2 linked regions of the Lepisosteus oculatus genome follow. The protein of the gene in region 2 interacts with the protein of the main gene of each other region in a pairwise test. Links are inferred from orthologs where the notes say so. Each region holds a gene or a part of one and is shown on either strand. Other genes may lie near its edges.

The links.
Region 1: the proteins of ercc6l2 (region 2) and cell cycle regulator of non-homologous end joining interact in binary tests that used the Homo sapiens proteins (3 or more experiments, as listed by UniProt). The two-hybrid records come from large-scale screens. The link is inferred for Lepisosteus oculatus from reciprocal best matches to the Homo sapiens genes ERCC6L2 and CYREN.

Annotation. Positions count from the first base shown.
Region 1 is NC_090702.1:55,881,134-55,896,521, forward strand, and holds the start of cell cycle regulator of non-homologous end joining, read left to right. Parts: upstream 1-9,628; 5' UTR 9,629-9,954; intron 9,955-10,999; 5' UTR 11,000-11,109; intron 11,110-11,215; coding exon of another isoform or gene 11,216-11,311; exon of another isoform or gene 11,312-11,402; intron 11,403-12,958; 5' UTR 12,959-13,164; intron 13,165-15,388. Other genes in the region: differentially expressed in FDCP 6-like, read right to left, coding at 745-924, 4,465-4,605, 11,216-11,311. UniProt on the Homo sapiens protein: Cell-cycle-specific regulator of classical non-homologous end joining (NHEJ) of DNA double-strand break (DSB) repair, which can act both as an activator or inhibitor of NHEJ, depending on the cell cycle phase.
Region 2 is NC_090698.1:57,211,135-57,226,710, forward strand, and holds the start of ercc6l2 (DNA excision repair protein ERCC-6-like 2), read right to left. Parts: upstream 8,110-15,576; 5' UTR 7,529-8,109; coding exon 7,492-7,528; intron 4,715-7,491; coding exon 4,281-4,714; intron 4,035-4,280; coding exon 3,915-4,034; intron 3,395-3,914; coding exon 3,201-3,394; intron 2,525-3,200; coding exon 2,363-2,524; intron 688-2,362; coding exon 480-687; intron 1-479. UniProt on the Homo sapiens protein: Promotes double-strand break (DSB) end-joining and facilitates programmed recombination by controlling how DNA ends are joined in a spatially oriented manner during repair.

The sequences.
Region 1 (15,388 bases), on a different chromosome or scaffold from region 2:
ATGCAGATGTACAGTAGATAGAGCTGTAAAAACTAACCGGGGCAATTGAATCTATCCAGCAAACGCAAAACCCGTGAGGAGAACATACATTTCAGGAGGATCTCTGCCTTGCTGGCTGTTTGATGCCCCCCTTGCTAGCCTAGATTACTACTCAACACACTGGGCAACAGCTCTCAAACCCGGGGGGCCTGTTGGATGTCTCCATGGAGACCAGAGATTCTATCAGCTGAATGCTGCGGTTATCTGCTTTGACAGGAAACCAGTTCTGCCGAGGAGGAAGTCACGGGGGCCGCGAGCGCATGAGCCCTCTCGGCCCACGTCAGTGGAGGGAGATGAGGAGCGAGATGTCAGGGTGCGTGGGCTCTTTGAGGTCTGCTGCAGCCTGGGGACTCTCCTGGCGCACAGCAGCACAGCCTGCTCCTTCTCATGTGGGGCACGAACCTCAACTCCCTGGCATCTACCACCAGCCATCAAAGCTCTGTTGATGCTCAGTAGTGCCACACGCCCTGTGGGAGCAGCTGAGGGTGGGTAAACAGTGCACATTAAAACTGCTCTGATCGTGGGCTGATCAGGAGACTCAACTCAGTCATGAGCTGTCAGAAGTACCCCAAGAACGGGAGAGAGAACCGAGTGAGGGAAATGTGAAAATTCAGAAATAATTTCGACCAAGACCGTTTATGCTTTAAAATTTTTCAATTCTCCATGTCAATGCCTGCTTGTAACCAATGAAACAATCTGCCTTGCCTCATCCGGTATCATGACGAGGGGATAGGTGTCTTCTGACAACAGGTTGAACAGGCAGAAGAGTCTGAAGCAGTCTCTGCTGGAGAGGATGCCCAGCTTGTTTGTGTCGTAATTCTTCTTGGACGTCATCATCCAACACAGGTCATCAAAGGCTTCCTTGTTGAAGGTCCCCTCTCTGGCCTGATGAAGACATTCCGTCATATTCAGATAAAAGCACATATTCCCACAAGGGCAGGGGGAGCTACATACCCAACTGGAATATCTTTAACATGTCCTAAGAAAGGATTGTGGGCTATATGGCCAGTGCAATTCAAACGACCCCACTCTACATCACCTCCGTGCATTTTGTAAATCTGGCTTTCCCGTTCCCTCCTGAAACACATCACAGTGCCCCAAATCAGCCCGCAGTGCTCGTGATCAGCACTGACCCATGCATGGCATGTAGTCAAAAAGGAACAGTGCATATTATTGCTGACATGTCTTTCCATCATCCTTATCTGCACTTCAGAAACACTGGCTGTTCCATTTAACCGCATTTAACATTTAGCCCCCTAAAGATTCAGACACAGTTACGGCGTGAAGGCACACATTCACTTCATTGCAATCTGCTCACTTTAATTCATTATCTATTTCAAGCAGGCAAAAAGTATATTAGAGAGGCCGAAAGAGAAACAGGAATGCTGCATCGTAGGCTAAAATGAATAATGAAAGGTTCTTTCAGCACTACAATAGCAAAAGGAAAGTAAAAAGGATGAAGTAAAATATATCTAGGATAATAATGGGGATTAATGTCCTAGAGGTAAAGATGGAGGACTTTTAGACACCAAAACAGATATTTATTATATGAATATTTTACTCAGGTCCTTAGCAAAAAAAAACCCATCTACAATATGACTCAGGTCGCAGAGAGACAGAGTTCTGTATTTAATCATAACACAGAAGAGGAAGTGTTTCAGTGAAGATGAACAAATATGTAGGGCTTGCTGGTATTCTACCGGTTAAAGTACACTTTGAATTAAACTAAAGAATTATCTAGGAAGAAGTAAGAACCTGGGGGATAGTCAACATGGATTAAGGTAGGTCTTAATATTTTAGAGCTCGTTGAACAATTAACTACAGCAGTGGTTCTCAAACTGTGGTACGCGTACCGGCAGTGGTACGTGGAGTGCCGCCAAGTGGTACGCCAAATGACCCTGGAACTGTGTCGTGTGCACTGAAAAATCGGGACGGGTTTTCATATTTTGTATTTTAATACGTGTCGAATACGCAGCCTACGTACTGTGATACAGTGCGCGCTAATACTTCAGTGGACACAAGAGATCCTCTGTAATTCTATACCACTCTATAGGAATGTGTGCTACGGATGCAAGTGACCAATTGTATTTAAAAAAGCTACTGTATCTCCAGCAAATAGGGAGAAAGGAGAATGTGCGTAATTTTGGAACAATGCCAACGTTGTAAACACAGGAATGCATAGAAATACGTGCTACGAACGCAGGTAATCTTGTGAGCACACGAAAGCGTGATAACAGAAAAATATTTAAGAACTGTTCTAATTTGAGAAAAATACACCGAGCGTCTCTGTGCTTTGCTCCCATGCGCATGAAATAAAAACTTACGGAAATAAAAACGGAAAGGCGGAAAAATGCAAGCTTGCGTATTGCTAAAGCAGGTAAGCTACACTATTTTTGAAGAACCTTATTTACCGTTGGCAAAAGAGCTGACACATATTATGTGTAGAGAAAAAGCTGCTAAAGAGCTCGACCTGCTGCCCCCCTCCCCCTGAAAGACACAGTCATTCATAGAATTATTAAAATGAAGGATTATATCAAAAGTACACTGATAGAGCGCGTTAAGATGAGCAGATGTTTTTCACTGCAATTAGATGAGTCTGTAGTCGATTTGGCCAATTTGCTCATTTACGTTAGATACGAGTTTGAGGGCACGTCTCATGAAGACTTTCTGTTCTGTAAACCGCTACCAACAGGAACTACAGGAGAGCACATATTTCAGCTTCTGAATGAATTTATCGAAGAGAATGGCCTCGACTGGATAAAATGCGTCTGAGTTTGTACAGACGGTGCTAGAGCAATGAGCAGCCGACATAATGGTGTAGTTGCACGAATTGGAGAGGTTGCTCCAGAAATTAATGTACGCATTGCAACATCCACCGCGAGACCTTTGCCGTCAAGAAAATGCCTGACGATTTAATATCTGTTAGACTCTGTTGTGAATTGTATCAAGGCTCGAAAAATTAATTCACATCTGGTTTGGTCAACTAAACAGGCTCACCCCTCTCACTGAAATGGTGCTTTTTTATTAGTTGTTGTTAATGTTTTTTTTTCTGTAAAACACTTTGAGAAGCCACCTTTAAAGGCGCTATATCAAATAAAGTTTATTATTATAATATTTATTATATGTATGTGTGAGTGTGTGTGCACGCGCGCTTATGTTGGTCATTGAGAATTTCTGGGGTTCCTATGAGATGATGACTTGTAGGTGGTACTTGGATGCTTTGGTTGGATTAGGGGTGGTACTTGGTCCAAAAAGTTTGAGAACCACTGAACTACAGTAATAACACACACAGAACATGATGTGGTATATTTATATTTTCATTAGGCTTGTTCCTCATAAACGATTAAAGACTGGGAAAATAATGGCCCGAGGCATTCCAGGTAATGTGTGTGCTTGGATTGTGAACTGGATAATGGACAGAAAACACAGAGCAGAGAGAAAGAGTGAAATTTCCTTCTGTGGTGACATCACTGGCGGAGTACAGCAGGGATGTGTATTAGGACCACTGCTCTTCTTCATGTATATCAATGATCTACGTACTGGTATAGTTGGAAAATTATACTATAGAGCTTTGCAGACAATACAAAATAGGAGGATAAGCAAACTCTGTAGAAGCAGCCAGGGAAATTAAAAAATTAGACAGAATTCAAGACTGGGCAAACACGCAGCAGGTGGTATTGTATGTAGACGACTACATACGAGTTTTAGAGGCAGAAATGGAAACATGAGCTACAAATACTGTATAAAATAGGACACAAGTGAAAACTGTGAATTTAAAACTGAGAACAGGAAGGAGTTTTACACAAAGGCTTGTGGGTATCTATAATAAACTACCCAGCCATGTCATCAAAGCTAATATCCTGAATTCTTTCAAGAAATGGCTGAATCAGATCCTCAGATAGATCATCTACTAGCAAGCACGTGAGCTAGATGAGCTGAACGACCTCCTCTTGTTTGTAACTTTTCGTACGTGCTTGTGTACACCATTAACCTGCCCTGTACCTCCAGTGAGAACCTCTTTCATGTCTCGCTCTCTTGTTTTCTCTCAATACTGTTTCTAGAAGAAGTGTGTTTCCTGTTTAATATACACTGAACATATCAGCACGTCACCTTGACCTTACTACTGAATGTAAAAATAATCTGGGTTCTCAATAATCCTGTTTTCACATTGAGGACTGAGCCATCAGCAAATCCAAGGTTTCCTTCAAGATGAAGTACAAGCTACTGTAGATCTTATCTGATTGAGTACTGTAATATCCCAATACTGAGATATCAGATTCTCTAACACCTACTGCTGAACACATTTTAGCTCTGACTAAATGTCAGAGACAATGTGAGATGGAAGTGGGTGCTCGGGTGATATTTTTGCAAAGTTTCAGTGATACAGAAACAGCAGCATGAAAGACACAAGGGTTTTTCTCTGACCTTGGCCAAGATGTAGTTGTTGAGGTATGGCATGTACCCCTGATTGGACACAGGGCCAGCATCGTCATCCCGAAAGTGCTCTTCCAGGGCAACAGGATCGTGGGGGATGTTCAGGGCGGTGTACAGGTTGTGGGACAGCACCTGCACACAATGACAAGGAACACAGTGCTGCTTCAACAGGATTTACTACATTTATTAGCCTCGATATCTGAAAGCTTAAGGTAAACGTGAAATGATGTCAAGGCATTCAATCCATACTTGCAGCTATTGAATGTAAAAACCCCTCATCAGGATTAAAGTGTGTGTAGGACACAGCCCAGCCATGGTCTGAACACCTCCATTCAACCAGATAGGAACACGTTCTGTTTCACGGTGACAGCCTGGAGACCAATTCAGTAGGAGTAGTACAGTAGGAGCAATCAACTGCAGCAATGCGAGCAGAGTACCTTGGTCAAGAGATCAACAGAAGCACCCCAGATGGAACTCGGATCCACAACCTTCCCCTTTTGAAGCCAGATCCTTGACCCTGAGACCCTGCTCCTGTCGCCAAACAGCCGCTCCCTCTCTTCGGACATTGAACCCCAGGATCCAGCGTGACAGGAGGGGATACTCACCACTGTGCTAATGTGCAAATTCTCTTTGACCCCTCAAGATAGGCAGGAGAGAACAATTACTGTAGCAACCATCGGCCCAGTGACACAGCTGGACCGAAGGGCATGTCCTAATTTGCAAAGCTCTCAACAGCTGTACATGGACAACGTAACCTGGCGATTTTATGCAGTGATGTGTAATGTGTCAGGTGCTCTTGCACTGACTCTAAGCTATGGAAAAATAAAGAACAAGACTTAACTTCATGCAGGGCCAGGCAACCTTGGCTTTTACAGCTCATGTTGGACCATCCAGTCCAAGCTAATTCCGGAATGGATCCTTTAATTGCTTAATTGACCGCAGTTTGTAATTAAGGATTTGACATACAAGACATGGGATGGGAGACAAAGGACCAGGTAAAGATTTATTCCCTGCTGAAAGGAAATGAAAAGAGACACAACATTTGGGCTGTGCATGCTGACAGAGCTCCCTACACGAACTTCATGGACTGGGAGAGCTGGTCTAGTATGTAGTTATATGTTTGATTGTTTGGCATGTGATCGCTTTGCTCTCAGCAAACCACGGACAGGTAGCTGTGACGTCTCTGGTGTCTACAGACACATTTACATTGTTGGGACACATTTCCTCTCTCAAGCATTTGAATCTCTAGCAATGAAGTGTATTCCGACGGATTACATGTGACTTTCTGAAAACTTCGACTACAGGCACCAAAAAGGCAAACATGGTTTTAAACTTGCTAGATCAACAATCTGTTAACCATTTTTGAACGCCGGAAGAAATGGGCTGAAGATAACATCGCCAACTTAGGTTGTAGGTTGTACATATTTAGAATTGGGATCAATATGCTTCACACTGATTTTCATGACAAACCTTCTGCATCTTTATTTCTTGATTTACAGTTTTTAGCTTGTATGCTGCAATTTTCCTGTGACCTTTCGGTAGAATAAGTCGTTAGCCAGTGTTTAAAGTAGTGCTATTTGCTATAGCAGGCTTTGAAAATCAACTCCATCCCCTAAGCCAGGGGTGTCGAACTGACAGGTTGCGATTGGCCTGCAAAGCCCATTTAAAAAATCAGAGCGACTGGCCTCGGTTCAATCCCTGTCTCATCAGAGCCTGCACGGCCCACTTTAGCAAGGTAGAGCAAGCACTCTTGATGATGCTGCTGTACTTTGTTAAAGACGTAGGTCATCATGTTAATGTCATTTCCCCCTCCAAAACAATGTGAGAAAGTGTTTAAAAATGCAAACAAAATGTTGATCTAAAGTTAAAAGCATAGAATTTAAATCACGTGACTTCATGATAAAATGTTATAATGCACTCATTTAGAATATTGTGTACAATTTTGGTCACCACATTATAGAAAATATATTGTTGCTCTGGAATCAGTCCGGAGAACAGCAACCAGATACATTGGGGATTAGGGGATTGAACCACACAGGCTGAAGAAACTAAACCTTTTTAGGCTCGAACAGGGAAGATTACAAGGGCAGCTGATACACATTTTCAAATTCCTCAAAGGCGCTGACTAAATCATCCCAGAAGACATCTGAATGAGCAGTGAAACACGAACAAGAGGGCACAAGCGAGAACTAAGTGAAAGTGCATTTAAAATTACTTGTTTTGACACTGAAAAGAGGCAACGCTGCTCAAGATTGGCTGCACAGCTGCCTCGCAGAACACTTTACTGAGGGATGCATTTCCACCCTTAAACTGCAGTTTAAAAAAAGGAACTGGCTCTGAGCTTCAATCCTGAGTCATCTCACCAACTGAATATGTATTTCCCAACTGGCAGAAAAGTGGCTCAACTCTGCTGGAGGCGGGGTTGTGATTGGCCAGCCAGGCAGTGACATCACTGAGAGACTCCCTGCTCCACCAATCAGCAGTGACTCAATGCCAGCAGCCATATCACCCTGCAACTCACAGCTGGCAGCCCACTGAAGCTCAGCAGGTGTGAACCTGGTCAGTACCTGGATGGGAGACTCCTGGGAAAGCTATGGTTGCTGCTGGAAGAGGTGTTAGTGGGGCAAGTAGGGGGTGCTCACCCTCTGGAAATACTAATTCTCAAGTATAGTGATGGTGTCACTGCAGTGTAAAAAGGCGCCGTCCTTTGGATGAGACATAAAACTGAGGTCCTGACTCTCTGTGGTCATTAAAATTCCCAGGGTGTTTCTCGAAAAGAGTAGGGGTGTTACCCTGGAGTCCTGACCAAATTTCCCCCTGGCCTTTACCAATCATGGCCTCCTAATAATCCCCATCTCAGAACTGGCTTCATCAATCTGTTCTCCTCCCCACTGTGAGCTGGTGTGTGGGGAGTGTACTGGTGCACTCTGCTCTCCTCCCCACTGAGAGCTGGTGTGTGGGGAGTGTACTGGTGCACTCTGCTCTCCTCCCCACTGAGAGCTGGTGTGTGGGGAGCGTACTGGTGCACTCTGCTCTCCTCCCCACTGAGAGCTGGTGTGTGGGGAGTGTACTGGTGCATCATCCAGGTGGGGCTGCACACTGGTGGTGGTGGAGGGGATCCCCATTACCTGTAAAGAGCTTTGAGTGGAGCGTCCAGAAAAGCTGTATAAGTGTAAGGTTATTTACTACAGCTCATGGGACTATGCCTTCCCCATCAGAAGCATTAGGTCACAGCTATGGAGTTTGAGTGTAGAACTCCTGCACAAGAGCTGTGCAGTCTATTATTACTATTATTATTGACTGTTTTGTAAGGCACTGTGCAGCTTGCTATGCCTCAAACGCTCCCATACTCACACTCCAGGGCTGTATAGGAGTGACTGGGTGGAGCCGATATACATGAATTATTGACACTTCCCAATTGGGCAACGAAGCACTTTAAAAGTTTTTTTTGCAACGCGATAGCTTTTATTCAAATAGGCCAGTGAGTGGCCAGTTTAGCCTGGGTTCACTCTTCCTTTATCTGTGCCAGGCAAGGTCTCATAAAATTTAAAATTACACAATACCTCACCACATATGTACCACAGATGTAGAAAGCTAAGTTTGGTGAAATATGTCCTAATTCGGACCCAGCATGTGACAGATGTGCACGAGCTTCTGCCACTCTCATGCCTGTGTTTTGGTCTGGTCCTGAACTGGTTCATTTCCGCTCCTCTATCTGGGGTGCTTTCTCAGGAATTACTCATCTAGAAATGGCACCCACTCCTTTTATTGCTTTTTCTGGTGTGCCAGCTGTCGACCTCACCCTCTCAGAACTACAGTCTGACAGCTTGGCTTGTGCAACTCCGTTTCTAAGGTGCCGAATCCTCTTCCATTTCGAAGCAAGCTGCCCCACCCACACGGGTTCAATGGCTCGGAGAAACGAAGATAAAATCAAGTACGCATGTAGCTTCACCATAATGATTTTTAAAGTTTGTTACAATTTCTGAACTATTTTGAGACCTTGAGCTTCCCCTCTACACCCTAGATTTGAATCTGTTATAACAAAGGGGCTGCTTGGATGAAACCTGTTAGGACTGGCCTTTCTGTTTTTATTTTGCTGTCTGGAGACTGTTTAGTGCAATTTGTATTCCCTTTTTTGTGTCCCTTTTTTATGTCTTCTCTGTTAGGTTTACTTCTTTTTGCGAGGGAAGATTTGAGAAGGATGTGGAGCAGAAATTCTGTGTTTTTCCTTTTCACAAATTAGTCTCAGACTAGACACTGTACCAACCAATTTACGTGTTCTGTAGCATTACTTCAATAATACTTTTCCAATCATTTTACTTATGCATCTAGAATTTGTGTTGATTTAAACAAACAAACAAACAAACAAACAAACAAACAATAAAATAGTTGCCAGAAAATGTTAGCTTTGATTCCCCACTAAGGATGGGGATGAAAGGAAGATTGCACGAGCCGTTTATATTTCTGTTCGTGACCACAGATACTGACAAAACATAACAGAAAACACACTACTGCTTCTATCAGGCACAGTGCCAGCAGAGACAGCACATACTAATGCAACAAGCCTGATGATAAAATCTTTAGAACACAAGAAAAGTAACCAGTTCCCGTAAAAAACATTCATATCTGTCATGCTCTGCCACACTGGAGGGTCTGAACAGCAAACCTGTCAACATTTCAGAAGAACCCAAATTGCACCAAACTGTTTGTTGACTCTCCATCTCAGAGACCTTTTTACAGACTTAGGACCTGCAAGCCTGTCAGATGATTTTAAAATAGTTATTTAATAATGTTGACATGATAGACGTAGGAAACAGGCCTGCTGGCTGTAGGATATTAAGCAAAGAGTGACCACGTGTCAAAAACACAAAGAAACTAACATCGAGGGGTGAAACTCACCATCCACAGACCCCCTGTTAGTGATAAACATCTTGGTGATGATCCCTCCAAGATATCCATCACTTCGTAACACTCACTGCTGTTACTGTTACCAGACCAAAATGCTTCATTTTTTTCACTTGGATGTTAAAATTACTGTGTCAGAACAGAAATAATCAAAACAAATAAGTACGTCAAATGAATAAAAAGCAATAGATGGTCAGAGATGACCAAGCTGTGTTAGAAAGGTCAGTGCAGTGCACCCTGTTTAGAGCAGTATTTTAAAATAAGAAACTAAGTCAGCCATTTGGAAAGGAATGCTGGGGGCTCTGGCACGCTGAGCAGCTCTGCCACAGGGTCCTCACGAGGAGTCTCAGGGACTGCAGGACCCGCATGAAGCTAACACATGAGAGATCAAGTCAGTGACATTTCTCCCATTTCTTCACACTGCGAACACTTCCTCTAGTAAGGTATACTAGCTATACATATCTCACATCTGCAGTGACTTTCATGCGAACGGACCCAGCAGGGTTGTGGCCGGTGTGAGAGTCGCTGGCAGGAAGGACAGCTCTCCATTGGAGAAGAAATCCGCTGCATTGCTTGGTAAGACTTAAACTGCCTTCATGCGTGCAGACTGCACTCCCCACAGAGCTTACCTGCATCTTATCTCTGTGCTGATTCTTTCTAGCTACAGCACCGATGTGCTGTATCATCACAGTTTTTTTCCCCTGTCTTTATATTATTGGTTTGTCTGTGTTGCATCACTTCGAAGGAGTTACTCCTGACCGCGGGACCCAATATTCTTAATATTCTCATGCAGTGTGTTAAAACAATGATAGTGTGCAGCGTGTCACCATTCACTGAACCTGCTCGAAGTCCTGCCCAGCCCCCATCCTGCAGATCTGCTATGTCAGCATATCGTTGTTCCAGTTCAGTTCTCAGTGCCCCACTTGAAATAACCACTGGGGCAGTTAAACAGCTCTTTCCAGCTGCAGGTGTTGAGCTGTTAATGCAAAGAGACCTTTAGGTGCTGCAGGATGGTCTTGCAGGTCTAAAGCAAAGCAGGAGGTTGAATTCATTTCTGTTTTACACCGAAAGGAAGAAGTTCATGGACCTCTTCAAAGACAGATGACTTTCCATCAATTTGCAAATGGAGGAAGCACAATTTAAGTTTTATTAATCAATGATAAGTCGTGAGTAGCTTACTCTGAGCTGTTTGGAAAATAAAATAATAAGTGGGCATTACACAGACTGGGAACAGAAGGATCTGACATAGAGAGTTTGGTTCCTAAAACTAACTGATTTACAGAAAGTTTAAGTAACATATTCTGTGGTAGCATATGTTATATAAAATTGTATTGGTCAGCCAAAATCAGTTACTCCTGGCCTGTCTTTTACACTTTTCTGTTTCTTCTAACCTCTGCTCTTTCCGCAAAGACACACACACCTTGGTTCCATTATGGACAAAACACCACCACTGGTGTTTTTTTATTTTTTGAGCTGGGCTCAAGTGCACTAAAGAAACGACCAGCATGAACAACAAGAAGCAGACAACTGTGATGCAATAAAGATATAGAAAAACAAGCAAAAGCAACTGCAGAAATGAAGAAACAGCTCTCTAACCTCTCTCTGCTTCACCCTGTCCCAGCTTGCCTATGAAGAGCAGATGGCCTTGGGGGTTCTGGGCGAACTCTCCAGGGAGAGAAGCCCAAGACAAGCTGGGAATTCCAGGTGCTTGCATAGGTGTTGTTGATGAAGGTAGGAAGTTGCTATTCTGAATTAGGTTTTCATTTCACATAGATTTCCTGGCAGCATAGACCCAATCTGCTACCACTTGTAAAAGTAAAAAATAAATCAGACGTACCTTTAACTGGGATTTAGAGACCTTTCCACTTTGCTCCACGTCCAGGGATGTGAAGGCGTACCAGATGGACTTGAGCAGCTCTGCTTTGAAATTCATCTTGCAGCTGCTGTCTGCTACATACTACAAACTGCTGGAGTGCACAGGCAAGGGGAGTGTGTGAGTGAGAGAGAAAGAGAGAGAGACAGTGAAGAAACACTGGAAGATGTTAGATAGCGTGTGGGTGGAGACACGACTTGAGAAAGTTCTTTGAAACAACAAGTCAGTGGCAAATATTTCAAAAATAACAACAGCACAGACAACTGGTCCGACCAGTTCACGATCAGCCCAGTCTCGGTTTTCGTGATTTTGTCTGTTTCATTAAGGTTTCCTCCCAGCTAAAGACGGAGTGCAAATTCTCACAGCTAAATAAACTCCAAACTCTGTAATCCTTATATACTGTAGGTCACTTTCTCCAGCTAGTCCGTTTATAGTAAAGCAATTCATAATATAAAAAACTACTGTACTTCAGCTTTTCAGATTCAGAAGCTTTGAAAATAAATATTTAAATATATATTTAAACCATCACTTTATGTTCCATTCAGTAACTGTGAAACCAAATGATCAATTGTTGTCTTATCTAACTTCTTCTCAGTGATTGTGATTTGTAAAGCTGATCTATTGAAATTAATGAAAAACAGCACAAAAAGGGAGATCTGTTACAGAACTTGTAAGCCTGCTGTTGTCAAACTGAAACACCCTTCCTTCTGTGAATGAATTTACCGTTTATTTGTCTCTTGGTTGAGCTGAGGAGATTCTCTCCACAAAGTGACTGCTGTATATCACATGGCCCCTGAGCCTGGCTTAGCTCGTTCTGTCTTACTGAAGGTCAGCTTTTCCCTCAGCTCTTGAAAGAGCTGAATCAAGGCTTTCTTTATAACTAAGCTCATGTCCATCTTCTAATGACAGAGAGGACACGTCAGCCCTGCTGCTGTCATTCCTGTTCATTTCAGCATAGAGTGCGTCATCTCTCTCTCAGGGAGGTAGATGTGTCAAACCACAGGCTGTGTAGTATTCTTAGCCCCATTTATCAACCTCATCTGCAGCTGTGTTTACAGTCTGCTGTTGAAGCCGGGTGTATCAGGAGAGGTGGTTTAACATTAGAGCTGAGTGAGCATTTCAATACTGATCAAAATATTTAAGCACTCTTATTTTAGTGCCGTCTAGAAGCTTCCATAACTAATAACTCCATACTTCATTCTAATAACATAATAAAATACTTTGTTTAATGACACTTGACCTACCTGTTGCACTGATGTGTGAAACATGATGTGTTTCAGTCAAAGCTTTGGATTCACGCTTGGTCTAAATGGTATCAAACAATGGTGAAACCACCCCTTCCATAAGCAGAAATATCCACTGGAAAGAATCCAATGTGTGGATAGTGGATTCATAGTTTGTTTTTAAGACATCATAGAGCTAACTAGTGATTCCAGGCAAGTGTTCAAGAAGCTAAAGCATTCTTCATAAAATGCAATTTTAGATGACAAAATGAATGGATGTTACAATATGACCTGAGGGCTGAATGTCTTGGGTGTGTTTTGTAATGGGTTTCTAATGCAGTTAAGGGAGTTGTTATTGTTGCACTTCACTGCTCACCTGAGAGTACAGTGCCCCCCCTGTGGCCATTGATGAGTACAAGGGTAAGGCAGAGCATGAAAAGGCACTGTGAATATCATGTTGAATATGAAACTCATTTTTACACAGCAAACAAGCGACAGTAGTTCTCTGGACTTCTACTGTAATTATCTTGCGAAGAAGAGAAGTGGCGAAGAGAGAGCCCCTGTGTGTGGAGCAGTGCTCGGATGAGCTGCTGGAGGAGAGGCGCTCAGCAGAAACACAGCCCATGCTGCCTCCCCCAGCCCTCAAGCTCGGGACCCAGCAGGTTCTCCGTGTTTCTTTCATTGATAAACGTATGTTATATTGACCCAATTATGGTATGGTCTAACTGTTTCTTACTTTTCAACAGCTGTTCATTATTTACGGAAAAGTAATACATTCTGGACATCGGTGGTAACCTATTCCCTACAGCAGTGATTCCCAGCCCTGGTACCGAAGAAACACCATCTCTATCCTAGTGTTTCCCAGCCCCTGGTCCCGCTGGAACACCATCTCTGTCCAGCGCTTCCCAGCTCCTGTCCCTAGGGAACACCGTCTCTATCCCAGCATTTCCCAGCCCCGTCCCAGAGAAACACCGTCTCTATCCCAGCACTTCCCAGCCCCGGTCCTGTAGGAACACTGTCTCTATCCCAGCACTTCCCAGTCCCAGTCCTGTAGGAACACCGTCTCTATCCCAGCACTTCCCAGTCCCGGTCCTGTAGGAACACTGTCTCTATCCCAGAGCTTCCCAGTCCCGGTTCTGTAGGAACACCGTCTCTATCCCAGCTCTTCCCAGCCCCCGTCCTGTAGGAACACTGTCTCTATCCCAGTGCTTCCCAGCCCTGGTCCTCGAGGAACACTATTCTCAATAGTCACTGCGAGTGCAACACGATTAGACCCCTGAGTATCATTAGAATCCAGGGGTCCACTTGTGTTGTACTTGTGTGTTGCAAGCTCTGCCAAAGTATTGATGTGCCTTCCAATGATATCCCATTTTGTTGATTATCAAATTACATTCACACATTTGTTAAAGAGAATATTTTAATCAAAATTGATTTAAATAATTGAATGCGCAACTGAACATTTTCAAAGATAAAAACTCTTAAATATCAGCAAAAACTGCATAAGAACAAAACAAACTAAAATATTTGATAGGCATAAGAATTTGCCTCCTTAAAAACCATTCCACTGTGCAAGTGGAGTCTTAACAACACAGACAAGCATGAACAGGCAGCATTTAATTAATAAACCACTGGTTAAAGAAACAGCAAGATACAAATAGGTTTACCTGAGGCTGAGAAATGGAAAACCAGCAAAGAGAAAGAAACAGAACAGTGAGCTAAAAATAGTATTCCTAGACGTAGCTGAGTATGACCTTAGGACATTCAAGAACTGAGTCGTTTGCACAGGTTTTGTTATTTTTCACAAGCTACGCACTTTACCTGGTATGTCATGTTCAGACCAATGATGGGACAGTGACTCTGGGCACCTCTGTGTTTGAGTGGATAGAGGAAAAACATTCCCTCGGTCAGGAAACGCCCACCTGGGACTCACATGCAAGTTCCCCAAGTATTTAAGTTTAGTTTAGTTTATAGTATTTTAACTTGAACTTGAGATGTGCAGATCCTGAACTAAAGATTATGCATTTTATGCTTTTGGTAGTATTTTACGGTGGTAGAATTTGAATTCCAATGGAGGTGTTTACCCAGTGTCAGTTAAGTTTCTGGTTTACTGTAGTTAATCACTTTCTTAGTAAAACATTAATGTCTTCATCAGACCTAGAGCCCAGCATAAAAGAGAGGTGGAATAAAGAGTTTGTACTGTAAATGTTGTGTTGATTCTATCGGCCGGGGCAGCACTATAACTCATTGGTCTTGCTAATACGGTTCTGAATCGAATAATAAATAATAAAGAGACAGGGAAGGAACAAAAGGAAGACAGGGAGCCAGACAGAAGGAGCACCATCTCCTGTCTCCTACTCTGTGTTGTGTGCCAGGCTAGAGGATCTTGTTCTGATCAGTATTGGACACCAGGTTCTGGCTACAGAATTTGAACCTGTTTTTCAACAGCTTGCTGCCTGGTTTGTCTTAGGAAATTCTCAGGCTAAAAATGTTCTCTCCTAATTTGCTGATGTGTCTTTAGAATAGGGAGATAGACTCCCATTCTCTTTTGGGCATCCAGGTTATAGGAAAGGAGATTTAGTGCCGAGTTGTTTTCTTTTATTTAGGACACAGGCTGTCTCTCTTGCTGTCCTGTCAAGGTGTTGTACTGTGTCTCAGGTTATAGGGCCAACATTCTGGGTTTCTGTGGGACATGTCTTGTCAATTTAATACTATGTAATGTTTACTAGGCACTTTACTGGGAAGCGCTGGGATAGAGACGATGTTCCTACAGGACTGTGGCTGGGAAGCACTGGGATAGAGACACTGTTCCTACAGGACTGGGGCTGGGAAGAGCTGGGATAGAGACGATGTTCCTAAAGGACCGGGGCTGGGAAGCGCTGCTGTACGTTATACACTATATAATACAGTTCAACTG
Region 2 (15,576 bases):
TCTGTGGCTAAGGATCTTTGCCCGTGACTGGAAGGTTGCTGGTTCAAATCCCGCAGCTGGCAGAGGAATCCTCCTCTGTTGGGCCCCTGAGCAAAGGCCCTTAACCCCAACTGCTCCAGGGGTGCTGTACAATGGCTGACCCTGTGCTCTGACCACAGGCTCTCTCCCTGTCTGTGTCTCATGGAGAGCAAGCTGGGGTATGCGAAAAGATGAATTCCTAATGCAAGAAATTGTATAGGGCTCTTAAATTGATGTTATGTTATGATAGAGATCAATTTAAATAGCGTTGCTGCTGTTTGAAGATGTCACAGGTCTAGTTTGACAGGAGAAATCTTTGCACAAAAAGGGTGGAGAAAAAAGGACTCAGATGAGAACTGTACACACATTTCTTCAAAACTCCAATCTGTAGTTATCTACATGCTGGCAAAATAAGAAGAAAAAACAGCTTTTACCAGTGTCCGGTTTCTCTTGATACTTACTCTATCATCTTTTTTAGGTAGCTGGTTACTAATGAGAGACTTGGTTCTTCTCAGAAACCACTGAGACAGCTTCTTTGCCAGCCTTCTGACAGCCTTCCTTCCTACAGCTAGCTCTCGCTTAGTTGCACTGTGCTTCTGCCCCTTTTCAATTGGGTCAGCAAACATCGACCTAAAATGGCTCAAGCTACCTAAACATCCTGGAAGGGCCCTAGAAAACAAAAACAAAGAGGCGAGACTTTCAAAATATTATTTTTACACTGCAGTTACTTGACGAAACAACAGTGTACCTTATTTTGCAACCAAAAAGAAGAGAGGAAGGAAAGCACAAAGTCTCCCTTCATCTGAAACAATGTTCTTGACTCCTTTAGTTCCATTGTGTTTATTAAACCACACGTATTTACCAAAATGTATTGAACTCTTACTCATCCTAGTGAGCAAGGGTAAAGATTCCCGATGGATTATAGTACTTTCCAATCGTACTTTCACACTAGTTCAGGTAGGTAGCTGCGTCAGCATGCGTAGGCTACAAAGGAACAAGTAATAGGTTTATTCCATGCTGAAAAAAAGAAGAAAGAGAACACAACGTTTCAGCCGTGGAGCCTTCTTCAGGTGTGAGAGAGACAGGGCAGTTGGCAAAGGTAAAGTAGCAGGAGAACAAAGGATGGGAGGGAGGAGGAATGAGAGGCGGGAGCAGGGGACAGAAAGAGAGGCCAATCAAGAGGTGTGAAGTCAGAATGGGTACAGAGAGGTGTGAAATGAAACTTCCAATGAATGGAGAAAATTTAAAAGAACAGTAGTCTGTCGTTAAGAGAAGGGAGAATGTGTGATCCTAGCTGCAGAATAATTTTAGTTTCGGTGGTCTTTCTGATGGATGAGTTCGGAAAACTGTCTTTGAGAACACACACTGTTCTGTTGAGTACTTTCACACTGGTATGCCCAAACCAAACCAAGCTGAACTGGAATCTTACCATGCTGCTCACCCTGTGCATGTTTCCAGTCTATACAAAGCTCAGGTCACCCTGCGAGAGTGATCTGTAGACACAGATGAGGATTTTGAGGATTTTGTGACACACTTGGGTGTTGGGGCAGTCACTAACTTTTTTCTTTTCCCTTCTCCTTCTGATGAGATCGCACAACAGGGGATCTGCCCTCTATCTCCGGATAGCAGATGTTGACCAACCACTGGAAGCCTCTGCTACCTGGTTTTTAACTCTTCACCTGACCACTTTGTTTTCCCCACAGGTCAGCTGTATGAAGGTAGCAGCTCATTCTCCATAGTTTTCTGGGGAATGTTGCTCCTGCAAGGATTTCAATCTAGCCTGAATCTACTGCTCTATTGCAATCTGTATTGACTGAGAATTGAAGCTGAGGTCCTGCTCTGTGTTGTCTTTTAACATATTGCTGAATGCAAATGAGAAACAACCATGGAACTTGGAACAAGGAGAGGAAGGTGAAGACAACCTGAAGCAATGAATGTAGGAAATGCTTAATGAGGTGTTCCAAGCATCTTTACTCTTATCTTTTTGCCACACCTTTGTGCCTTGATGCAGACAGCCTGACTGATTCAGCCTTCTTGCTGTTCATTTTAAAGATCACAATATAAAGGATCACAGTCAAAATGGTACAAAAACCTTTCATCAACATCCCAACTCTGTATACTGTATGTTTTCCAGAAACATACATAAATAGTGTGACACGTTTCTTATGATGCACAGTATGCCAGTGTGTATGACACTGTGCACTGTAACCAAGGAACTGCAAAGAAATATTATAATGGTTGAGCTTTAATTTATAGGATATTTATTAAGAAACAGTTTCTATCAAAAGAACAGATGACCTACAAAATATTTTTGAACTGCAACTGTAATCTTACTTCTGCTTACCAGTCCATTACACACCACAGCTCCTCCATGTTATTCTGGAGAATGGTCCCCGTCAGTCCCACTCGCACTCTGCACTTCAGTTCCTTCATTGCCTGTGTTATCTGTGAGTTGGGGTTTTTAATCTTGTGGGCCTCATCAACTATAACAGCAGACCAGTCAATGCTGTAGAAACAAATCATCCAGGTTATCACCACACGAGTGGCGCACCTTCAGGTTTTCACCACATGAGAATGCACCTACATATAAGTGTTTTCCCAGTAAATGTAGCTGCAACATCAATTTTAACACATTCCGATCATGAATATTAAATCAAGCTGAATTTGTAAAAACTGCCTCTAGTTTTGTGCCTTTATATGCAGTATACTGTATCTCTCACCTCACACACAGAAATCACACACAGTATTGAAAACATAGTGACTTATAGCAAGAAAAACTTAAGTAATGGAACAGTCTGACTGCATTTTCTATGAGTCATACAGTAAGGTCTGAACTATTACAGTCATAATCACTAGATATTAAAAGAGTAAACACTGAATCCATGTAGGCTGAAGACTGAAAAAGTAAAAGGATGTGTTTCATCGAATCTTTTTCTAATCAATTTTGCATTCAGAACAAGAAGAACTCACTCAAGACAGTACGAGGAAAACCAGACGTAACTGAAAGCATAACACATTTCTAGAAATTATATGCAATTCTGGAACAAATTGTGGTAATCTCAGGGATTTCTGGAAAACAGCATCACTAGCTGTTGTTAACAACCTTTAGATATTAAAAGGTACAGTCTTTATGTTCTCTTTTAATTCTTATAAACAATGTCGGAGAAAAATCAAGACACTACCTGTTAAAGTCATCTAGATACAGGCGGAGCGTCTCATATGTTGTCAAGGCAAACTCACACTTGCCTTTCTTCACTCGAGCAAGCTCTTCCTCTTTCTTTGTGCCATGTAAGATGGTAACTCTGAAATAACCCCAAGTGTCAAACTCATCTTTCCAGTTGTAGAGTAATGACAGTGGAGCCACAATTAGGAATATCTAAAATGAACCAAAATATCAATCATTACTTCAACAGCTAAAGGGTAACAGTTTAGGACTGAAGAATACAGGCTTTTTTACCGCTGACCACATTATCTCTAACTTGAGCAACTTTGTCAAACTGGACCCTTATAGTATTTCTTTTGAGTCTGCATACTCTATTTATTAACTATACCAGCGGAGTTGCAACGCCTGAAACCTGGTATTATGCAGGGCTGGTGTTTTGCTCACATAACTATAAATAATCTGTACTTTCTTTTCCAGCTTCTCATTATATTCGAATAACATCTGTTGACAAATTTGTGGTCATTTTGTAAAAGATATTTTACGTGATTAACATTAGGATGAATTATGAGTGTATATTAAGGAAACAATCTTAAGTCCAAAAACTAAAATGACCACAGTAAGTTTCTACTCATTACTTTTTATTTTACCCATTTACTTAACAGTTCCTAAGCATTATTTTGGTCATATATATATATAAGATATATTTTTGTCATATTCAAGGTATGCTTCTTACCTTTTTACTTTTCTGTGTTTTAGGCTTTTGTTCGTCAGATAACAAAAATTCTGGCACATTCTTCTCAATGTCTTCCCGTGTCCCTTTCTTGTGTAGCACAGCAGCCAAAAAGGAAATGACCTGAAATCACATGGCAAAGTACATTTTATAAACACCATAAGCCTTTGCATTAAATCTTTTTCATCTATGCAGTCCACTATGCATACAACTTAGAAAGAACAGCTGCAATGTTTTTTTAAATATTCACTGTGGAGAAATATGACTGATGTTTTTAAGGGCCGCATTTGAAACTTATACCATGCTCGCTCTAAAAGGAAGAAAAAAAACAGATGACCAATCTGTGTGAGTCTTCACAGAATTCCTTACCTGTATGGTTTTTCCGAGTCCCATATCATCTCCGAGAACACAGCCTCTGCCTTTCCTGTAGTGACTGTAAATGAACTTTACCCCCTCTCGTTGATAGTCTCGCAGGTATCTGTTGATAGTGTAAGGAATGTTGTCTCCGTTTTCTGATAACTTATACGGTACAGCTGCACCAGGAAGTTTCCTGTTGTGGAAAAGGGGCTTTTCCAGGTCTTCACCTCCAAATACAGAAGTTCTTTTGCTTTTGTAAGGGAGAGGACTCTGAAGCACCTGCAGTTTTGTAACTGGCACAGTTTCTTCGTCATACTTGAAAAACTTCACCACTGCCACGGACTCGTCTTCATCAATCGAAACTAACTTCTTTATTGTCCCTGCACACAAACTCCCTTCGCTAGAGCAGGGAGCAAGGCACCTATCTCCCACATGCCAGCTCAGCTCTAGGGAAAAGAGAATAACAAAAAGGAATATATGAATAACACACAGTTTTGATAGTGCATGCATATCAATGTGAACCAACTATACCATACCTGACCTCTTTGGCAAGTACAGCTTGTGTGCATACAATGCAGCATTTACATTTTTGAATTAAGAATAATATGGTTACTCCATATAAAAAAAGACTGCTTTCCAACCATCTCAGATTTTGCTTTAAAAATTATCCTAGGATTTTGGGACCACCTGAGTTAAAAAATGCTATTTTTTTTAAAAAAAAGAGAAAACCACTTTAAATTGTTGACCTTAAAATGGGTAACCTAAAGCACAAAGGTGACCTTGACCAGAAAAATCCTCTTTAATTAATTTTGGCAAGTTGCCAGATGAGGGGGGTACGCAATTAGATTTATTCAAAATTCATCCCAAACCTTTACCCTATACAGAATGCAAGTCCAACAAAGTTAATATTTATAATTAATAATTCCTTACATATTTATAGCACTTTTTCTGGACACCCCACTCAAAGTGCTTCACGGGTACTGGGGACTCCCCTCCACCACCACAAATGAGTTGCCCCCACCTGGATGATGTGACGGCAGCCATAGTGCGCCAGTACGCTCACCACACACCAGCTCTCAGTGGGGAGGAGAGCAGAATGATGAAGCCAGTTCAGAGATGGGAATTATTAGAAGGCCATGATTGGTAAAGGCCAATGGGAAATTTGGCCAGGACACCAGTGTAACACTCATGCACTTTTTCAAGAAACGCCCTGGGATGACCACATAGAGTCAGGACCTCGGTTTTACGTCTCATCCAAAGGACGGTGCCTTTTTACAGTATAGTGTCCCCATCACTATACTGAGGCATTAGGACCCACACAGATTACAGGGTGAGCGCCCCCTGCTGGCCCCACTAAAAGTCTTCCAGCAGCAACCCAGTAGTTTTTCCCAGGAGGTCTCCCATGCAGGTACTGATATCAAATGTGCCATCATAACAAAGGACTCTAGGTCTCACACACAAGTTCACAACCCATCAACAGCTCCAAGTGAACTTTGCTAATAAAATCCAAACCAATGCCATGGCTCCAGCTGCAAGGGAATGGCCCAGTAATAAAATGTTTTTTAAACCCTTTTCCTCAAAGAGCTTGACAGTAAACGCCCACTTGAAACCAAGCTTTTAAATTTTAAACAATTAAGTTTTTCACGGACGCCTGGCTGGGGATGCAGACTGTCACCGAGTGACATATTTGTGTAATGAAGTTACCAAATGAAGTCAACAGCTAACGTGAAATTCACTGAATATTTATAAAATTTGAGAAAGGCCAGACCTTTTCTGAGACCAAGAAATGCAAAAATATCAGATAGAGAATCTTAATTCACTAGGAATGACAACACCCAAGACTAGAGTGTCATGATAGGATCATGGAGCGACATTTTGGCTTTAACCCGCTAGAGGTGGGATGCAAGAGACATGCAAGAGAGAGAGATAGGGATCTCGTAGGTATTTATAGCGTTTGGGAGGGGAATGGATTGTCCGGAGCGATTGCTAATTACTGACAGCTGAGTCTGATTGAACTTGGTTGTCATCCCTCCCGAACTTTCGTTATAAACTCCATTTAGAAGACGCAGTCGTTTGTAAATCTTCTCTCCTTCATCTCATTCCCGAGTCTTTAGTCAGTTTGGAGGGACCAAGCTACGTGACAAAGCCAGGAGCACTCTGTATTCAGCCACTTCCCGGCACCTCCTCCAAAACCTTTCATGCACACTTCATCTGCAACTCCTACACTATTTCTTCCTGCCTTGCAAGCTATGAACTGTCTGCATAAATACCACCTTCAGCCAACTGGTCTACTGCATGTCCGGACTTCAAGTGCAATGTAATATAAGTTGTGATTTCCCATACAATACGTCAGGCAGTACCATGTGCCTCTGAGCCCCGACTAGCTCAGTTGGTAGAGTATGAGACTCCTAATCTCAGGATAGTGGGTTTGTGTCCCATGTTGGGCACAAGGTTCTCTAATAACCCACACTGGGCAGCAGCAGTACGGGGTGGTGTTGGTGGCAGAGGCTCACGATTCTGTGACAACGGCAACAACACTCGCACTATCTGTGTGGAAGAAAGACCTGGCAATCTATCTCTGTATCTTGCCATGAAAACTCTATAGTGACAGTGGAACTGTCCATAGAGTTGCCATGAGTCATACCAACTCAATGGCACTCAACCACCACCACTACTTGTCTCATGCTGTATTCTTGCATTTTATTAGTAAATTTACTAGGTACTTTTTTAAATATCTTCACGTCATCATAAACCTATTAACAGTAAGTTAGCTTACTGTTAGGTGTCCCGTGAATGGATACAGTAATAGACTCAGGAAATCCTTCATTCCCTTTGCCGTCTCACTCTCCACCAATGTCAAGTGCTCCTCTTATCTCCTGAAACACTGCTAGACAGTCTTCTTTACTGGTAACCTTTGTCTGTCTTGGTTGTATCGGACCGTGCTGTAAAACGAATTTCCCCCATGGTATAATAAAGCTTGAACCGAATCATGTTTCACTGACATCTTTGTTTTGCTACATGTTGGTTGCTCTATTATGCTGGATTGTAGTCGGGCCCTCCTGCCGTGGTTTTTCCTACTGTTCCTTGTAGATCATTGCAGGTATTTTAACATCGAGTTAAAACGTGGTGTTGACGCAGACTATTATTATACCATACTACATAGAAGCGAACGTTTGTATAACAAATAGCAGTGAGATTAAAATCACTACGGATAATTACTTACTTGTGTTGTCAGACTGGGGTGACAATCCTGACGCCATTTCAGCATCACGACTTCGGCATCAGGAGTACAGTGATGTCCAGTACCATGAAGGATTACATGTTGCTATCGAGTCAGAAATGCCAAAATGTCGTAAAATGAGAAACTGCAGAATGCTTAGTGAACATTATAAATCTTTGAGACGCATATGTTCTTGCCCATCACGACATTCTTTACAACCAATAACCACCCTTAATTATTACATTAGACATATTAGTTAAGCTTTTCGTTATTATTATTCGGGATTATTATTATACGGATCGTAATGATAAGTATACGGATCTTACATAAGAGCGCCCATCGTTAAGAACATCCAGTAAAACTAAAATTCAAAAAGCAATAGTCTAATGTAGTCAGATACGACCACATAATTGTAAAACGTCTAATGTTCAGAGGTGCGTAACTACGACGAAAAAAGCACAACACTGTGATCGGATGTGTGCATTTCAGAACCCATGTCCAGCATTTAATAGCACACTCAAAAAAACACAATTACAATATTTTTACGAATATTCTTTGCACCAGTACAGAGTCCTATCTGTATCTGCCTTGACTAGCAATTGGTAGAAGCGCTACAGTGAGTAAGTAAATGTATCTTTGATTTCATATTTTCGACATCGCGGGAGGTAGTTTCGACAGAATAAAATAAAGTACTGTAAATTTTGTGATAAAAATAATGACATAAAATACTCATAAATTAATGCTTACATAAGCGAAATTTTAGATGGTCTTAGAGTTTTAATTTCTTATTTCCCCCATATTTTCCCTTTATGGTATTACAAGGATGATAAATGTATGTTAGGGATGGATTGCCATCCGTCTAATACTAATATTTAAGTAAAATTAATTTTAAAATATATGTTATACGCTATTGTTTTTTTTCGGTGGAAACAGCATAAAACAATAACGGTGTTGTGAATTCTCGTTTGTTTGAAAATGAACCAAATATTTTGTCATTCTCCTCGGTAAAACATGCGTTGTAAAGTTCGATTTTAGTATAGGCTGCGTATTCTGCATCTTAAAATTAAATCGCTGTAAATGGTGCATGGAAAGTTAAAAATAAATTTAGATAACTTTTCCAGACCATCAAAATATATGTTGGACCTTCCAAAGAAACGAGCAAAGCGGGTAGAAGTGACGCACGTCTTTCTATGAAGTCCAGCAGCGACAGAAACTGCAATCCCTGTGATCTGCCGGTTCATTATTTAGCAGAAATTCGTAAGGGTTCATGTGTTCAATAATTCTACTTCCTTTTGATCTGACACGCTAAATTAGACATGCTGTAAAAAGCAAACGTACACAGCTCATTCCCATACACCTTTTATGTCACGTCATTCATTATATTGCCAGTGTCATTTAATTGCAAAGTCTCACTCCCATCATGAATTGGCTACATTACTCTGCTCTCCTCCCCACTGATAGCTGGTGTGTGGTGAGCGTTCTGGCGCACTATGGCTGCCGTCGCATCATCCAGGTGGATGCTGCACATTGGTGGTGGTGGAGGGGAGTCCCCATTACCTGTAAAGCGCTTTGAGTGGAGTGTCCAGAAAAGCGCTATATAAGTGTAAGCAATTATTATTATTATTATTATCATAACCCCTTAATGCACAGGAGATTATTCATTCATTTTCGTTGTTTCTGACAAGGATATTATCATGTGCAACTGATTGATGGATGGATGGATTGATTAATTGATGGGTTGATTGATTAAATATCCAGGGAAGATATTTTACATGCTGTATATATTTTTTGTCTTTTTCTGTATGTTTTGGAGATGATTTAAAGACAACAACCATGTTTTAAAACCATGTAAACTTTAACCTACTTACAGTCTAATGAAACAATGTAATTCAACCAGTTTTTATGTCTAACCTTGTGTCAGATACAAGAAAGATAAACTTTAGACGAGCGAAGAATTATTCTGTGGCTTAACCTCTTTTGAAAACATCCATTATTGACTCTCCACATTTAAACACTTGAACTATGTGAGAAATCTCAATTAGACTGACACGATGTTTGATATAAAAGCGACTAAGTTATTATATTTCAGTGCAATATGCCCTAACAAATTGAATGCAAGTACTCAGTATGAGCATTTATCTTATGTTGCATAAAAATGAAAAATATATATATCAGACTTCTCCCCCCTCAAGTGATACAACAGAGATCATCCTTGCTAAGCAAGCAGTGCATTTAATTGCACATATTCAAAGAACATGTAGTATTCGCCTTCTAATTTGAGCATACAGTATATTGTACTGTAGCGCTTTCGGTTTCACTTTTTCAAGATCTCCCTTAGATTAGCTGGCTGGGTCCCTGTTGAGTGACGCCGGAGGCCCCGGGTTCGAGTCCCCAGTGGTGGGGGGGCCGACCTGAGGCAGCAGTGGCGAGGGCGCATAGCCATGTGAACCCTAGAGCACTACAGTACCAATCTGCAACATCTTTTCTTAGTATGTGGGTGCCCATATTATATTTCTCAAGATGTTGCACATCTATAAATGCAAACCAGTAAAAATGTGGTATTAGAGCTCAGGAATTTAAACACATTGATCTGCACAAACAAGGTAGAAGCCTTTGCATCAGGATGATTTTCAGCGTTAATTCATTGTTTCTGGGCTGAAGACCTGTTTTGGTCTTCGGATCTTCCGCTAGCTGTTAGTACAGTATAAATGTTCCCCACCTTTTTCCACCTGAGTTGCAACAGGGCTGGAATATGAAAGTGCCTGGTTTGTTTTCACCTTTAAATTAAAGGTTATTCTTGTTCTACCAGAGTGTTCTGTTGGCAGTAATGTTTGGATATATGTTTGTTCATTTAGCCTAGTTTATAGGGGTTGTTTTTTACAAATGCTGATGTATTTATTGTTTTTACACTGTTAAAACTTTTACACTTGTTTTTTTATCTTATTCAAGACTTTACATTGCTTTTATTCCCTTACTTTATAAAAAGGCACAATAACCCAGTTGTTAAAACCTTTCTAGCTGTTTGTTATTCTTCGGATCTTCCAACAAATCTACTGAAAGTATGCAATTCATCGTCTGCAGTGTCTGCTGTTTCAGCGTTTGAATGGGACAGATGATATAACAGAGGTTATGCTCCTAAGAAACACCTCAAGGTTCCTGCCTCATGTTTCTTTTCATACAGACTATGCTCATTTACAACTGCTGTGAAAGAACAAGTCTGTTTCTCTGTGCACTGCCACCCTGACTGAGGAGGTCTTTATGTCCAGGTGTGTTACCAGTGAGTGGATGAAATCGGATTTGCAGCTGTAACAGATCAAAAAGCTGTTAAAGTAAACTTCATTCAAACAGCTATTTGCTCTTGTTATTCCTTTTTAAATAAATATAATAATCTTGTTTGGCTGTTAAATAGTAACCACAAAATCACTAAAGAGTGTATCAACCCATTAATCTGCATGCAGAATTTTCAGTGACTTACACTAATGGTGCCATTATTCATACATCACAGTCAGCAACAAGATCCAATATTTACTATACAAGAGTTTAGTTACTTTGTTTTGCAATCCAAGAGGTGCCTAATAAATATCAGATGTTTAAAACAAAGGGTAATATCTAAAACTGATATAAAACTGCCAAAAAAGAAACCAGGAATTGTATTGTGAAGTTAAGAATTGCTGCAGCGCAGTAAAGCACAAATTGAAAATGTGTTCTACAGTAACGCAAAATACATAGAACTCGTGGATGAAACATAAACCTTGAAAAAGTGCACTATTATGTTTTGAAAAGGTCTGCTCCTGCCACTCGTTGACAACACTGCCACCCCAATGAATATGCTTTATTATTGTCAATGATTTCTTGAATACCAAATATTCTTCAAGCATGCAACCAGTTACCCTGTCAAAGTTTGCTTAGAAGCTGTAGTAAATGAACATATGATTACAGCTCCAACATTGCATTCTATGGGAGGGTCATCTGATAGTAAAAACATAACTACAGTAGCTGCACTGTTGTGACACAAGTGAGACCTGGTGCATCAACAAGACAGTAATGTAAATAGAGGTTAGAAGCTCATGTAGCTGCAAGGTTGCACGTTCAAATAACAGTATCCCAACAGTCAAATAAATAATTATTATTATTACACTTTGCAATAAAGCTAGATGATACATTCCTACAGGTACGTGCATGTCTGAGGCCCATATCTTTTGACACTGCTTGTGAAATACTTTATTTTTGTCCTCTGATATCTCTTTACTGAATTGCACGATGCAGTAATTAATCTAGTAAACCTGAATATAGACCATATTTTGCAAGAAAACAAACAGCTGGGTAAAGCTGTTAATTACTGGCATCTGCCATGAATAAGCGCAATTGTATAATAAGTACAATTTCTTCAAGAGAAATAAGGATAGTTTTGAAAATAACAAAATCAAAATCAGAAGAACATTATGACTTAAAGATGTTTTTGCAACCATAAAACTGAACATGGATCTTCGTTGCAGTATTTTGTAATTTTCATTATATCATTTTAGTTTTATATAAACCTCAACTTGTCTGTGGACTCGTACCAGTAGAGAGACAGTGATTCCAATGTGTTTAAAATGGGAAAATTAGACATTGTTTTAGTCATTTGCAGAATAAGAACACTATGTTATGTGAAAATTTTCCCAATGTAGCAATACTGTTTATTAAAGATTACTTGTTGTATATTTTATGAGCATACAATCCTAATAATGACATTTCTCACAGGAAGTTAAATAGAAAAAAATTTAATTAATGTCCTTGCAAAACAATCTCTTTGCAAAGTAAAAAAAAAAATGAATTCTGAATTCTAAGACTTTAGTAATTCCATGAATTAAGTCTTGGCATCGAGCCATTACAGGTACTCCAATTCAGGATGTATTGTTTTATTTCCTAATCGTGTAGAATGTAAGTTATAACATTTAAAATATGTTCAGAAATGACATGCATATGTTCCTTATGTTATTCGGTAAAAAGTGCTTTTACATTGACATTATTGACACCTAGTTAGTTCTGTAAAAGGACCTACAACTTTTGAAGTAGTTCTATTGTGAAAACAAAATTGAAGAAAAATTGTTAGGGTAAGAATCTGTAAAAGGTTTTTTTTTAATTATGAAACACAAAACTTAGCATCAAATGACAGAAACACAAACAGCAAAAAATAATCTTTTCCTTCCTTAATTCCAAAATCTAAAATTCCCAACCAAAACATTTAGTCCTACTGTAAGCTACAAGCTTCACACAGAAGTGGAGGTGTTTGTCCATGACTATAATTGTAGCACACCATTCTTTAGCAGTGAAAATGAATACAAGTAGTTCTGTTCTTATTTTCACAATTTTTGGTTAACACCAAATACCTTATTTATCGATGATAATCTGGTAAAACGTTAGGAAATTATTAGTTCCATGAGAGAGCTGGTATGCTATTCTATGCCGTATGTAAACAGTTTGACATCAGTGTTTTGACTTCTTTATGAGAACATCTGCAACAGCTGCTCAAATCGAATTCTCTTTGGAAAATAAAAACAGAAAGTTCCATTTTTATGTGTCAATGTACCATGCCAAGGCGCACGGCTTCATCTGGCATGCTACGTAATTTAAAAAACAGAATTTAAACTCTTTTAACATTCAACCATGTTTACATCCTGCTTCTCACGGTGGCCCTCGTCTTTCATTTTTATAAGATCAGTAGGCGTGAGAGAGGCACGCACTTCATATGCTTTTATTTATTCTCCAGTTTTAACTGCTGATTTTGTTCGGTTTCTCTTACGCTACTTTTTTCTTTCAAAAAAAGGGACGTCGGTAATTAAAAATGCTTTCCCCACTGCTGGTTATGTGACTCGATCTCAGCTACAGTATATACCAAAATGTAATCTCGTTACATGTCAAACAGGTCAGAACAATTTTAATAAGGTTTGCTTTAATTTATTTAAGAACGCGAGACAAAAAATGTAATTCACTAGGTTAATTTAGAGCTTTAACATTAATGTCAGTTGGACAAAGACTGATTTCAAGGCTGATGTTCCTACACAGACGTTTTAATGCGGTTTCCCGTTCTTAGTCCTAGAGTAACTGCTGTGTTGACTGAGGTTCCAGTTCCATCTGAACTCTTAAAACATTAAGCTCTTTTTACGCTTAATCGAACCATGTGTCAAAAGCGACAAAAAGACGGGTACAATTTGTTGTATAATTGTTGTTGTCGCGGACAGCTTGATTGCTGTATTACTCACATGGAATTTGAATTAGGAATTACAGTGGCTTCTGGAAACAAAAAAATATTAGTACTAATTTTTGTGAATTACCAGCGACTTGAATGGAGAACAAAGAGTCACATTAATGTGCACCTAAGGATGTCTCTGTTTTGTATGTCTGCCCTGCAATGGACCAGCGTCCCGTCCTGGGTGTTTCCCACTTTGTGCCTGATGCTTGCTGGGATAGACTCCAGCTCTCTGGTGACCCTGAAGTGGAAGAAGAGGCTAGAAAATGGATGGATGTGCATCTGTAATGCGTGTGCTTGATCACACCTGAATTCCTGTTTTTTTAAGAGCTAATTGTTTCCCCATCTAGTGGAAGGCTGTTGTTAGTGTTTGACTTTTTAAACACCTTGTTGAGTTTGGGAGTCTTGGCAAGATTGGCCTCTCTTCTCTGGAACTGTGTGATTCCAGTGGGTCTGGACCTCAAGCGAACTGATGGGAAGAAGTGTCACCACCAATTTCATTACATTATTCCGTACTGGAAATGTCACTTTAGATTGTCGTTATAGAATATAACGTCCATCCAGGTGGGGCTGCACATTGGTGATGGTGGAGGGGAGTCCCCATTACCTGTAAAGCGCTTGGAGTGGAGTGTCCAGAAAAGTGCTATATAAGCGTAAGGAATTATTATTATGATTATTATTCTTAAATGACATTTGTGGTACTTCCTTCTCATGTACGGAAGGTATTGGTTGATGAGCCCATTTCTGTCATCATGACCATCTGATTGGCTTATTTTGGTGGTGGCATTGGCACAAGAGACAGAATTCATATGCTGTACTCGGGAAGAAGTCACATCTCCTTTGATCATTTCCAAGAAATGTGGTGAAAAGAAAGGTTTCAACATGCTTTAAATTTGCTGTTCCCCTGCAGCTTCCTAAAGAACTTGTTTCACAATTAATAATGTGCAAACACGGGTGAGAACTATGCAGTCAAACACCAGAGTAAATGTTCTTGCAGGGGCCCATTGGTTAAATTCGACCAAGTGATTGCAATAATAAACCTATGTGAGAAGAGAGCTGTGAATCCCAACATCTGGCACAGCTTGCATGTTAATGTATCATGTCGTTCTACACTTTAAGCACTGAAATGATTGTAATACTTCAAGCTGTTCTTCAGAGGTTGATGAGGTAAATGTAAGAAATTCAGCTGGAATAAAACACAACAGACCCAACAGCTGGAACTGGGATGCTAACCACTGAGGAGAAGGGCTACTTCTGTGGCTCAGAAAACTGTGTTGAAAGAACCAATTTCTGAGATTGTCAGTGTAGCTTTATGGAGATGTTTTGATAGATAGAGGCATTTATTTGCCATATGTACAGTACATGTACAATGGGATTCTTACTTGCGATGTTTTCTCGGGACATGCACAGTACAGCAGACAACACAGTACGACAGATAATGGCACACAATGTACACAGTATATTACAAAACAGTAAATAATTATTTATGTACAGACAATAAACAAATGGAGGAATAAATAAAACCAAAAAATAAATATGAAGTAGAAAGTGAGAGTGCAGAATGCAGAGGTGCATTGAATTCTGAGTCATTGCTGTTAACAGATGCACACTGCTGTCAGATAGAAACTGTTCTTAAGCCTAGTGGTCTGTGTTTTAATGGGGTGGTACCACTTGCCAGAGTGCAGGGGGATGACAGTTTGTGACCGGGATGGTTGAGATCCTGAATGATGGATCGGGCTTTACTGCGACAGCGGATGTTGTGAATCTCATTGATTGATGGTAAGTCACATCCTGTAATCCTCTGTGTCGTGCCAAAACACTGTGTAGCACGGCTTTGTCATGTATGGTAGTATTGC